Linked DNA regions of Xenopus tropicalis. The protein of the gene in region 2 interacts with the protein of the main gene of each other region in a pairwise test. Links are inferred from orthologs where the notes say so. Each region holds a gene or a part of one and is shown on either strand. Other genes may lie near its edges. The genes, in order: wasl, rhoj and pak2.

Region 1 (3,650 bases), on a different chromosome or scaffold from region 2:
ACCATGTGTTGGGCCAGTGACAATTACCAATATTCAGACCACCTAAAAACATGCCGGCTAAAAGAAGATTTATTTCTTATGAGGTAGTTATTCCTGAAAATATGAATAAATATTGGTTCTACATTCAGGTCTGACAGATGCAAACTCACCCTGCCTGCGCAACTCATTTTTGACAGCTTCGACACCTCCTGTTTTTTCAATGAAATCATAAATTACTTTTGATGTTTCTTTATCTTTCAGCTGAGCTTCTGATATGCCACATAAGTCAAACAACTTTTTAAGCTCCGGGTCCAAATTGTTGACCTAGGAATAAAGACATCATTTAAATAGATCATTTAAACCATTGTAACATTATTTAAGATTGATACTCGCTTTGGAATTTATGGAACTGCTTATATGGCCTGCTTATCTGCCAAAATTTAGTTTAAAATACAGTAAACATGGCATTGTGTTATTAACAGCAAGTTGAAAATGTGGTAAGAAGGAAATGTAGATACAGGATATTAGCACTGCCACAGATTACAGGTTTGTATAGAATACAGGAGAAGTCTGCATTACAAAATCATTAAAGGCAAAGAACAAACTGGAAAAAAAGTATTTCCTCCAGTATATTATAAAATACTTACATCAAAGCCTGTGTTTGGATCCCAACCCACATGTCCAATGTGTCTAAAAAAATTAAAAAAGCACGGTAAGGATAGCAAAATAAGCACACAGAAGGAATACAAATATAATAACGTAATGTGTACTGAAGTGCATAATTGACTATACTTACAGAACAAAGCAAAAATAAAATAAGAAATTAAGGGGCATAAAGCCGGTAATCAAAAAATCCAGTTTAAAACTATTGGTTACTACTCCTAAAGAAAACTTTACTCCTGTGTTATGCCTAAATTACTTTATTCTCTACTAAATGATGTAATTCAAGTGAAGTCAACACTGCACTTTCCAGGAAGGTCTTTGGACCTCTGCCCTCAGTGGTATGTTCCATGGCCTCAGGCAAATATAAAATCTCTGAAATTACCCCAAAAAATTGTTACCCAACACTCTAACTTGTCTATGGTTTATCATCTTAGTTCTTAGCTGATTTCTTACAAATAAGGGATCCCACAGCTGGTACCACAGGAATTGTACTAATTTATCAGGAAACACATTATCCAGAAATCTCCAAATTACAGGAAGGCCATGTCCCTTAGAGTCCATTTTAAGCAAATAAAACTAATAGTAAAAGAACTATTTCCCTTTTTTTCTGTAATAATAAAACAGTACCTTGTACTAAACTACATGAATCCATATTAGTGGCAAAACAATCCTACTGTGTTTATTTAATGTTTACATGATTTTTAGCAGGACTAACATACGGATATCTAAATTACAGAAAGATCCCTTATCCAGAAAACCCTAGGTCCCAAGCATTGTGCATAAGACTATTATACCCGTAGTGTAAAAGCAATTTAGTTACAAAGGCTATTTTACACATTTTATTCTACATTTAGATTACATACTGAAAGTTACTTGGAGTTCCAATATCAGCTTTTGTAAGTTTTTTCTTCTTAGTTTTTCCCTTTTTCTTGTCATTTTTGTATGGAATGTTGTTCACTTGTGCATTATATCTGTTTGTGATTTCTGGGTTTTTAATGTCAACGGTTGCCATTGGTAGACTTGGCCCTGGAAAGGAAAAAAGTATAATGTAAGTGAAACGATGGCTGGAACAAGAAAGGCAGCAATAAACAGTGCACAGAAGTTAACTGTGGCTTTCCATAGATTATATGCACATAAAGTGATTTTGGAGAGAATTCACTTGGCAGCCTTAAATACCCAGACAACCCTACAACAATCCATCAGAATATTTCATTAGTCTGAGGACAAAGCAGACAGATCATAACTAAGCACCGATTGATTGCTATGGGTTACTACTTCTCAGTACATATACTTCTACTTAAAATGTAAAGTATGACTACATTTAGGTGATTTGCCCTTCTGCCTCATAGTGCTCACTAACAAAATTTTTTAACTTGGTGTGCTCTTTTCTGTAACCAGTGTACTGCTGCTGAATACAAAGTTCATGTGATAAGACTATTATGAAGGCAAACAGATGGAGTGCAGCTAAAATACAAGCTAAATCTTTCTAATGAAATATTACTCACAAATAAACCATACCATTAAAAAATTAAAAGAAATGAAAAGAGCCTAAAATATTTTCACTTTCTTTGATAAGGGACACCTCTGTTTTCTGAGTGAAAAGCTTGCCTTTTGTGTTGATATTAGTGTCTGACTTGCTTCTCCACATCATTAACTTTCTGGCCATGTATGAAAACTGGTGAGATAGCAGAGTAGGTTTAAAAATTCTTTGGGCTTGTTGATGTGTTCTTCTGCAGGCTGGACCGATAACTATTATGCAATTGTTGACCTGGGGTCCAAACTAAAGAATCAGCCCAGAATGTGAATGGCCAAATTGGGTAAAGAACCATTCATTTGGCAAACTTATCAAAAGTTAATCTTCAGTATTCCCCTGTCAGGTTATTCCTTTGTCTGGGAACAGTACTTTTACTTTTTTTTTTTTTTTTAAATAACCAACGCTAACCCAAATCTCATCTTTCTACATGCAGGATTTGTGGCAGTTGATTATTTTTAAAGAAAGAGTTACTTATATTACATCTTCTGGACAAATGTATTAAATGTTCCAATGTACCAAAATTGAAATCCTTCATGTAGAGAGAATGTTAACATTGATTATATTTAGAAAGTTCCTTATTTGCATGAGATAAAGCTTATATTCAATTTTCATTCTAGTGTTAGTTCATCTTCAGGATAATAAAAAATAAAACATCTGATGCCTCGCAGTTGTTCAAGGACTACAACAACTAGCATTTTCATTTGTAAGCTGAAAAGAAGAAGAAAAGTAAGGTTTCTCACTCAAAAACCATAGAAACAAACAAACACCCGCTAAAAGGTTTCTTAGGTAAACCTATAACATACTAGAAGTACAGAATTCCTTAGAAACAAATTACACATTCTACACACCAACCAAGCTTGCAATTAAAGTTATTCAAAATGTGGAAAAGACCACATGACATAACTAGCAATTGTGTGTTAATTAAAAAAACAGCTAAAATTACACAGTTGACTAGGCAATCTAAAGAACAGTAAAATATCAAACTTTTATAAAAAAAGCTTATCTGAAATATGGGCACAGGGCCACAACTCTTCTGTTAGGACATTTTTAGAGCATGTTAAGGGAACAAGATACAAAGGGTTCATTGTTTTTCCAGGATAATATTTAAACTTTAAAATGAACACACTGCTTATAAATCTCTTCCCTAGAACATACAGCACAGTGACAAATTAAACATTTCCTAAAATGTAATGTAAAAGAGTAATGTCACCCTGATAATAAGTTTTAATGAAACTGCAGTGTGTACCCCCTATCTGTCCCACTCATAAGTATAGCTTCATTTATAACTGCCCAAAAAAGCCACAACACACAGGGTCAGACCTAATGTGAATTAAGTGATGGAGAGATGATAGATAGATAGATAGATAGATACAAGTGCATGTAGTGAAATGCACTTGAAAAAACAAAGTCAGCCTGAATGGAAGAATCAGGAAAGTGTCTGGACATAGCAGTGCCATCTTGGAAGTGCCACATG
Region 2 (4,372 bases):
TACCTGATAATTTGGTACCACATACTTCAATTGAAATTCTTCTTCATTGCCTGAACAATATTCCTGGCACTTCTGCCACTCTTTCCATTGGTACTTCCCAGGTGCTGTGACTTGGCTTGGTGGGGGTGCAGGTGAGGCTATCCTTCCTCAAACTGGACATTTGCATAAAACAATCATCAGAAGGAAGCCTTACTGTCAACATTATCACAAACATCATAGTCTAAGTTTTAGATGACAGCATCTAGACAAACCACAGGCCTTTTCGAAACAAATGCTATAGGCTGATAAAGTAAAAATTGAACTCTTTGGCCACATTCATCAAAGGTTTGATTGGAGGAAAAAAGAAACCTTTATAAAAAAAATGCCTTGACAACTGTTCGGAGTTTAATTATCTTCGTGTAAATGGGAAAAAAACTTTTTCAACAAGTTCTTCTACTAATTTCTAAAAGTCATGTGCCTCTCATTTGCTATCCAACTTTGTTATCTATTTGTCTGTTAAACTTGCCACTTTTCAATTGGACTTCATTTTTTTTTTTTTAATTATTTGCTTTCTTCTTATGCCTCTTTCCAGCATCAAAAATTGGTGTCACTGACCCCAGCATTGAGAAAACAATTGCTCTGTGAGGTTACAATTTTATTACTATTGTTACGTTTTTACGTTTTTTATATTCAGGTACTCTCCTGTTTACCTTGTATTCTGATTGATAGGGTAACATGGACCCTAGCAACCCGATAACTGCAAAAATTTTAAACTAGAGAGCTGCTGAACAAAATGCTAAATATTTTAAAAACCACCAAAATAATAAAAAAAATCAAGACCAACTACAAGTTGTCTCAGAATAGCACTATATACATCATACTAATACAATTTAGCTCATTTCAGTAAATACACTAAAAAGTTTAAATTTTCTCATTTGTATACACTGTGCACATTAATACTCTCAAAATTACAGATGATTTTTCAAAAACCTGGCAGAGTACAAGCTCAGTTCTCAGTGCCACCCTTATAAGGGAACTGTACCCTAGCCCATTCATACATTTTTGCCCAAGTAATGTTTAATATCTTATGCAGATTCCTAAAACCCACAATACTTAAACAGACCCACTTACAATAAGAGTAGTGTTCACAAACAATATTTTGGATGGTACCCCTCCATTTATTGCTACAGGAAGTTTTTGTGGGCAGGAATTGTGCCATGTGGAGTTTACAATCTACTTTTAAATTCCACCACTCTCTTTTAATTTATATTGCTTTATCAGTGGTGTATTTATCAAAGAGTGTATTCTTATTTTCAACCTTTGATAAATAGCTCTTTAAATTTTTTTTTAAAAGAATAGAGATTGAGTTCCAGTTCCAAACTGTGGCAAACCCTCTTAGCTTGCATGGCATTCAAATGCACAAGCTAGGGAATATAAACGGGTGCAAATTACTGTTAAATCTGCAGGGTGTGCAGGGCCCACTGGGGCTGCCACCCGCAAACTTACCTAGGTGCGATCAGGGGAGGGAGGTAAATTGGGGGAGCATCGCTAGTTTAAATCTGCAAGGAAAGTTACATTCTAGTAGAAAAGGCACATCATAGTAGCTGGACAATGTTATACTAATTGTGCACTTTGTACAGTGATAATGCCTAGAGCTGGTGTACCATCCCTATTACTTTAATGTATGATTCTGAATGTGGCAGGACTTGTTTGGAAATAGCCACCAAACTATGCCCCAAATGACCCACCAAAAACAGAAGGATGCACTGTTTGGTTATAATTATATCTTCCCAGCTTTTGGCCTGTTAGTTCACTAATAGGTGCCAAGACAACAGTAAATTGCACAGCTGTCAGTGGTAGTATAAAAGTTACTTAAACCACCATAAGGGACCATGTTGTTAGTTCCCTAATATGTGTTGGCGCTTAATAAGTCACACAGCTGTCAGTGGTAGTATAAAAGTTACTTAAACCACCATAAGGGACCATGTTGTTAGTTCCTTAATATGTGTTGGCGCTTAATAAGTCACACAGCTGTCAGTGGTAGTGTTTCCTTACCTGCATAGTGGTCAAATACAGTGGGAACGTACTGCTCAGGAAAAGCATCATTGGCATAACTCATCAACAGGCAGGTTTTGCCAACTGCGCCGTCTCCAACCACCACACACTTGAGCATCCTCTTCATGCTGCTCATACTGCTGCATCCCGTGCTGTCATTTTCCTCCCTCATATTCATTTCTCCCTGCTGCTGCGGCTGCTACACACTGGTAAAACAGCGCATGAAACCAACTCCAAGTTCAAGTTTCTGTTCCTGGGAGAGTGAGATTTCAGGAAATCATAATAAACTGTATTTGCTGTTGCAGTATCCTCTGGTCATGGTTGTGTTTCAGAGAGGGCTGTGGTGTGTGGGGATACTTTTGCTAATCGCCAGACACTTCATTGCTACACTTACTTGCAGGATGATCTCATTCTGACCCACACAGCACACATTTTCTGTGCAAAAAAAGCAATACACAAATGCAATAAACCTCTTGGATAGAACGTGTCCCTCCTGCTGTGTAACCCAAGAGATCACAGCTTGCTGTTAATCCACTCCATCCTTCCCTTGTGTTTTAGGGTCTAATATGGAGGAGCGCTGAAGATTTTAATGGAGTTTTGCCCCCTGTCTTTCTCGGGTTTGCTCTGTGTCAGGAAATCATGGGTTTCCTGCTGAATTCCATATTAGGATCAGTGGGCTGGTGAACTGCTAGAAACAATGGAAGCTCTGTGTGTGTTTGTATTGTACAGGAACTCTGCCAGGACATGGAGTTAGAAAAACACTAGAGGTCTCACTGCAGGCTCCACAGTTAGACTTCCTGTTCCTTATCCTGCACACAGAGCTGGCTGGAGAGAGGCACATGATGTCACCTCAGTGCGGCTATTAAACTGGCTTTGTTCTACAGGCTAGGAGGGAACAGCACATACTTTTAGGCTCTTTGTTTAACCCTCTCGCTGCCAGAGCAGGGGGTATAGTAGCAGGTCGGCTCCCATCCCTAAAATGATTTCTCTAAACTTACATTCCTAGTGTTTCTCTGGTGATCAGTGACCCCCCCTCCACACCGCTGCTGGAAATGCAAATTCAAATGGCAGATGCTGTGCTTTACTTTGCCTCTGCAGCTATAGGCAATGAGGTAACTCAGGGTTAAACCATACACCCCCTCTCCTCACCACCTATAAGAAGTTGTCAGAGATTTATAGATACTGCTGGGTTCAGATGGGCTTGAGACTTACTTAAGTATTTAGGTGGGCTTGAGAGGCACAGCCATGCATTTACTTTTGGCTCCCTGTGCTTCAGACTAAATGGCCAGGGGATTGTTTATACCCTCCTCGAGTGCTACAACTTGCTCTCAGGGAGCTGAGCTACCATGACAGCTGCATTTATCTGCTTTCCCAGGCTCCAGATTGTGTGTGTGTAGGGGTGAGATTGGTGGTAGAATAATGATAGGACTATGAGGAGTATGGCACACATCTGGGCTCATAGGTAGGGGCTAAATTATAGAAATCCCTCTGGGGATTGAGTGAGAAATATGAAACTGGGAAGGGGGAGCTTAGGGTTGCACTTTGTACCCCCTCCAAAAAAAAAACCCAGAAACCTGTTGCACACACAGAACTTGACCTATAAAAAGTTATTATAAAAGAAGCTATAAAAACAAAATGCTTGATAAAGCCAAATATATGGCAAAGCTCAGTACAGAGCTGAAAGGATATGAACAAATTAATCTGTACTCTGAAACAAATAAGTTAGCAAGTATTGGAAGGTTTTTTTTGTATCAGCTTTCCATTCGTTTTGTAAATACATGGGTAGCTGGGCTTCCAAATATACTAAAATATATTGGTATAACAACCCAAACATACGAATATTCTGTATATGCAATTTGTAACACAGACATGGTGTCAGAAATCCAGTCTAATTTTGCTTTGGTTCGGTCCACAGCCTATTTCCAGCCCTCCTTTTGTTTCTGGATCTGCCCCCACCCAGGTGATTTGCTCAGTTTGTTTTAGTTAGTGTTAGCTTATTAGAACCTGTTGGGTTTTGTTTTTCCTGACTGTTTTAACCATTTTTCCTGGCTTCCAGATTCAACTTCTTGTTTGTTTCTTCTGTGTTGCACTATAGTTTGGACTGTCTCTTGTGTATAACCTGGATTGCCTCTGAATACTGCAATTGTCTTTGTGTTCCAGTTTAATTCTACTATGCTTGTGACTCCTGCCAGCTATCCTGCTCTGTGTGGCTACTTGCCTTGATGTTCCTGTGCTTCAGCTCCAGTTGTGGTTCTTTGACCTGCAAAAGTAAAGGAATTCCTCAGATTGCTGTCAGTTATCACTTACCTGTTCCAATACACATTTACTTACCCTTCAG
Region 3 (4,215 bases), on a different chromosome or scaffold from region 2:
TTCTGAGCTGACGTACTAATAATCAGAATTATTTACTCGTCTCGTATTGTGACATTTATATTCTGTATATACAGTCAGCGTTCGACCGGGGTATTGGGAGAAAACCTGGTGGGCCCCCATGGTCCTGATCCGCTCAACCCCAGGGCGCTTCCTCCATGCCGCGTCCCTCCCCCGACACACCGCAGTTAGGATTCTTTTAGGAGCGTTCGCAGGGAGGGGGACGTAGGGTGTTGGGGGCCTCTGCGGGATGGGGGGGGGGGTGAAGAAGGTGGTGGGGGCCATTGGGGGGTGCCCTGGTAGGCCCTGAACTCCCCAGTCCAACCCTGTATACAGTATTATTATGCCACTGCTTTGAGTCGTTGCTATTTTAAAGGAGACATATCATATCAAAATTATGAATGTACCAGTGACTTCTATTCCTCTAAATATAGAAGGATTGTGCTTAAAAAACATTGTGTTTCTGACTGATTTATTGAGAAATTCCACAAAACCCCTCTAGTCCCACCAATCTGTTCCACTTCCTGCTGGCTGAATTCTCTGGATGAGCTGGGGAGCCGGCGGCTCTCAGTACCCTGCACTGTAGGATAGGAACCAATCAGCAGCTAGGCTGACCTGATAGGGAACGGAAGCCTGTCTGTGCTTGTGTGAGTGCAGGGCTGTGATTGGCTCTCCCCCTCCTACTGTGCTTCTGGCAGAGACCGTTAGTACACGCCCACCCTTCATTTGAAACACAGACAGAGAAGTGATAGGATCTATAGGGAGCTCCAATAAAGGGGCCATTGTTACAGATAGGATTCATTTTAAGCACAAAGGGAAACCAGTACCATATATTATTCATAATTGCCTACAAAATTAGGGTTTTTTCCATTTATCCAATATGTCTCCTTTAAAATCTCGTTGTTTACTATGTGAGAATGACAATAAAGATATATTCTATTCTATTCTATTGTGAGAGGGTCCTAAGCAGTGAATCAGGAGAAATGAACATGGGGAGCTACTGGGGCATCTTTGGGGGCACAGATCTTCCCTGCTAAAGGGCTGTGGGTGACTTGGGCTGGTACAGGAGCCCAAACCTAATATGCAGCATTTCTGCTTTCTGCCCTACTCTTCCCTTAAATGCAACCCAGACAATGAAGCTGCCCAAATACAGCTGTGTGGGGAGGGTGGGTGAGACAAGTGTAACATGCAGAAACCTGCATTCAACCCAAGGGCCACCTATCCGGCAAACCCCTAACAAGGCGTCAGCGCCCACTCTGAAAGCCAATAACAGCGCAAGCGCACACGCAGCAGGACTGCTACAATTTCACTGTCATGTTATTGGTAAGTAACGGCTCCTAGCACGCCCACACACTCCTCACACATACCAGGCATTGCATCTCATCTGACAAAAACACAGCGGCGTAATCCCAAACCCCCCTCACTCGCTGTGCGTACACGGCCCTGCCAGCACCCCCGCCGCCCCCCTTATGGTGGTAGCGCCCACGCTTCTCTGCCCGCCCAGTCTCCCCGCTCTGCCACTCAGCTCCTCCCTCTGTGACGCGCTTCTCACACAGTGGCGCTCAATTACTGAACTGTGACAGGAGCAGTGGGGAACCCAGGGAGGTGTGGCAACCCGGAACCGGAAAAAGCAAGGAAGAGGAGGGTCTGAGAGAGCGAAAGAAGGGGCCCAGTGGAGAGGGAGCCGGCGGAGGGGAACAAGTCACAACACCTCATTCACACACCCGGTAATAAGTAACGTGGTTTTCTGTCACACAGTTTGCACTGTCCCGTTACGTGTCATGTTATAAAGTTGGGGCGGCCTGGTGTGCGGTGTGGGAGCGGCGAGGCCGGCAAGCTGAGGGGTAACACCATGATGGGGATATTGTGAGGAGAGGAAATAGTGTGTCCGGGGCAGCACGCCAGCTATAGCCAATCCTTGGCTCCTATTGGGACCGAACTACAGCTTCTGGGAACCCGGGAACTCTAGTTTATCCACTGTCGGTATTCCTTGTATTCCTTGTATTCCCTGTATTCCTTGTATTTCTCTGTATTCCTTGTATTCCCTGTATTCCTGTGCTGGACCGGACAAGCAAGCACCCAGTGCTCAATTCCAACTCGCATCATGTGCAGCTGGGGTTTGTGGGAGTTATAGTATTCTGTACAATAGAATGGCCCTTCTTGTGCTTGGGGACGTGTCTTTGCTGTATAATCATTAGATAGGGACAAGGCAGGATTTTATTGGATCTCTTCCTGCTGTGAATACCAATGGTGCACAGTGGCACCCAGCTGCCAGGTTGGACTTAGTGGCTGTGAGCCCCTTCAGCAGAAACTCAGGGTATGAACCCCATAAAGAACTTTTTCAGACTAGTGGTTTTTGACATTTTGCAATAAAAAATTGCTGAAATAATTTCCATTGAGCTCAGTGTGAGATGCAAAGATATGTACCTACTGGGGCACTGCAACCTGCAAGGGTATCACTGTATGTATACAATACAATATGATATATGAGTGAGGCAAAAAACCTGTTTAGGCTGTGAATGTAACTTGGTGTATAACTGCTAGTCTGCACGGTCTTGGGGGTTTCCTCGGTTAAAACTTGCATTGCTTAATACCTTGGCATAACATGATTTTGCCAACCTGTCAGTTCAGTTGAGTCAATAATGGTACCAAGGCCGTACCTATCTAGTTGAAATGTAAATTGTTCAATTCAGAACAATGTTTTTATTTTGCAGAAATATAAAGAGATCATTACAGGAAACAAAGTTTAATGTCATTGGTGTGTACCCCTATTTAAAGTAACATTGCCATCCTGGGAAGGGTCCGATTGCGTCATTGGTGTCAGAAAGGATTTTTTTCCCCCTCTGCGGCAAATTAGAGTGGCTTCAGGTGGGGTTTTTTTTGCCTTCGTCTGGATTAACTAGCAGTGAGGCAGGTTGTATATAGGCATTATGGTTGAACGTGATGGACGTATCTCTTGTTTCCTATGTTAGGAGATTTGCTGATAAGACTGGAGCTACTTGCTTCCATGGCATTCTGGTAAATAAAATCAATATGGCACCAGGGTTACAGGTAGAATCCGTGTTGGACTGGCGGGCCAGGGGCACACTCTCCAAACTACTTTTTCTCAACTCCTCACTCAACCTCTATAAATCTGTTCTATTTAGTCTTCTTGTTCATATAGAGAAATAATGAATGACCATGAACTAGGCCAAATGGTAAGAAGTATGAGGGCCCCCTGACACCTGGGCCCACCGGGAGTCCGACACTTGGTAGAATGCGTAGGTATCATTATTTACTCTCAGCCAGGCGAGGAAATAAACTGCTCTGTAACATTCACTTTACTGAATACATGGTGTGTAGAAGTCTTTACCACTAAATGGAGGGGCAGAGTGAATCAGACAGCACAACTTTGAGAGCTTATCTAGCAGGGGAGCTTTTAGATTATTGTGATTTATGTAGATTACAGTTTGCACATGTCCAGTACAGTTCTTTTGGTCTTCTGTGGGCCTTGAATACAGCCAAGTGCTATATTATTTTGTTTTTTTGCATGCCAGAGCTCTAAATGAAAAATGCAATAATACAATAGTCAGTCATTTTTGTGGACAAATGTAGCGCTAACCGCAAGGGCTAATTTCTTCCCCCAGGTGGGTATACGTGCATTGCACAAGAGTTACAAAAATGCATTATTATAGGGACAAACTAATAGTGCTTTGATCACTTAAAGAGTAATACTAATAGCTGTGCATGTTATTTTCCTAATAATTAATTTAAAAAGTCAGTAATCTAAATTATTGTGCATAGTGAAACTGTAAGAAATATAGGCAAGTAAGATGTGCCTTTTAATGTTTAGAAAAGCAATTCCTATTATCTGCCGTAAAGCAATGTGATGTATTTCTCACTGTCCTTTTATCATTCCTTTGGACAGGTTGGTACTCGCACTGGCTGAACCCTTAAGGCGGCCATACACAAATAGATTTTGTTCTTCTTCCAACAAACTTTCAGATATCGAATTTATGTTTAAATGCAACAATCTAAAACTAACATTCAGATTGAAATTGAAGGATAAAGTCACGACAAACAACAATCGTATGAAAGTGATGTTCCTGCAATGCATTGTAGGTCACCAAAGGACATTGTCGGATACATGCATAGATTTTATCACTGTTGACTAATCAACCAGTCACCGTTGTATGAAAGTTATGGGAATGGGCCCAAACATGGTCCAAAAATCATACC

Evidence for each region.
Region 1: the proteins of rhoj (region 2) and wasl interact in binary tests that used the Homo sapiens proteins (3 or more experiments, as listed by UniProt). The two-hybrid records come from large-scale screens. The link is inferred for Xenopus tropicalis from reciprocal best matches to the Homo sapiens genes RHOJ and WASL.
Region 3: the proteins of rhoj (region 2) and pak2 interact in binary tests that used the Homo sapiens proteins (3 or more experiments, as listed by UniProt). The two-hybrid records come from large-scale screens. The link is inferred for Xenopus tropicalis from reciprocal best matches to the Homo sapiens genes RHOJ and PAK2.

Annotation. Positions count from the first base shown.
Region 1 is NC_030679.2:70,345,505-70,349,154, forward strand, and holds part of wasl (neural Wiskott-Aldrich syndrome protein), read right to left. Parts: intron 1,669-3,650; coding exon 1,506-1,668; intron 670-1,505; coding exon 627-669; intron 304-626; coding exon 150-303; intron 1-149. UniProt on the Homo sapiens protein: Regulates actin polymerization by stimulating the actin-nucleating activity of the Arp2/3 complex. Involved in various processes, such as mitosis and cytokinesis, via its role in the regulation of actin polymerization.
Region 2 is NC_030684.2:101,542,749-101,547,120, forward strand, and holds the start of rhoj (rho-related GTP-binding protein RhoJ), read right to left. Parts: upstream 2,861-4,372; 5' UTR 2,213-2,860; coding exon 2,035-2,212; intron 1-2,034.
Region 3 is NC_030681.2:129,803,685-129,807,899, reverse strand, and holds the start of pak2 (serine/threonine-protein kinase PAK 2), read left to right. Parts: upstream 1-1,410; 5' UTR 1,411-1,724; intron 1,725-1,841; exon of another isoform or gene 1,842-1,976; intron 1,977-4,215. UniProt on the Homo sapiens protein: Serine/threonine protein kinase that plays a role in a variety of different signaling pathways including cytoskeleton regulation, cell motility, cell cycle progression, apoptosis or proliferation.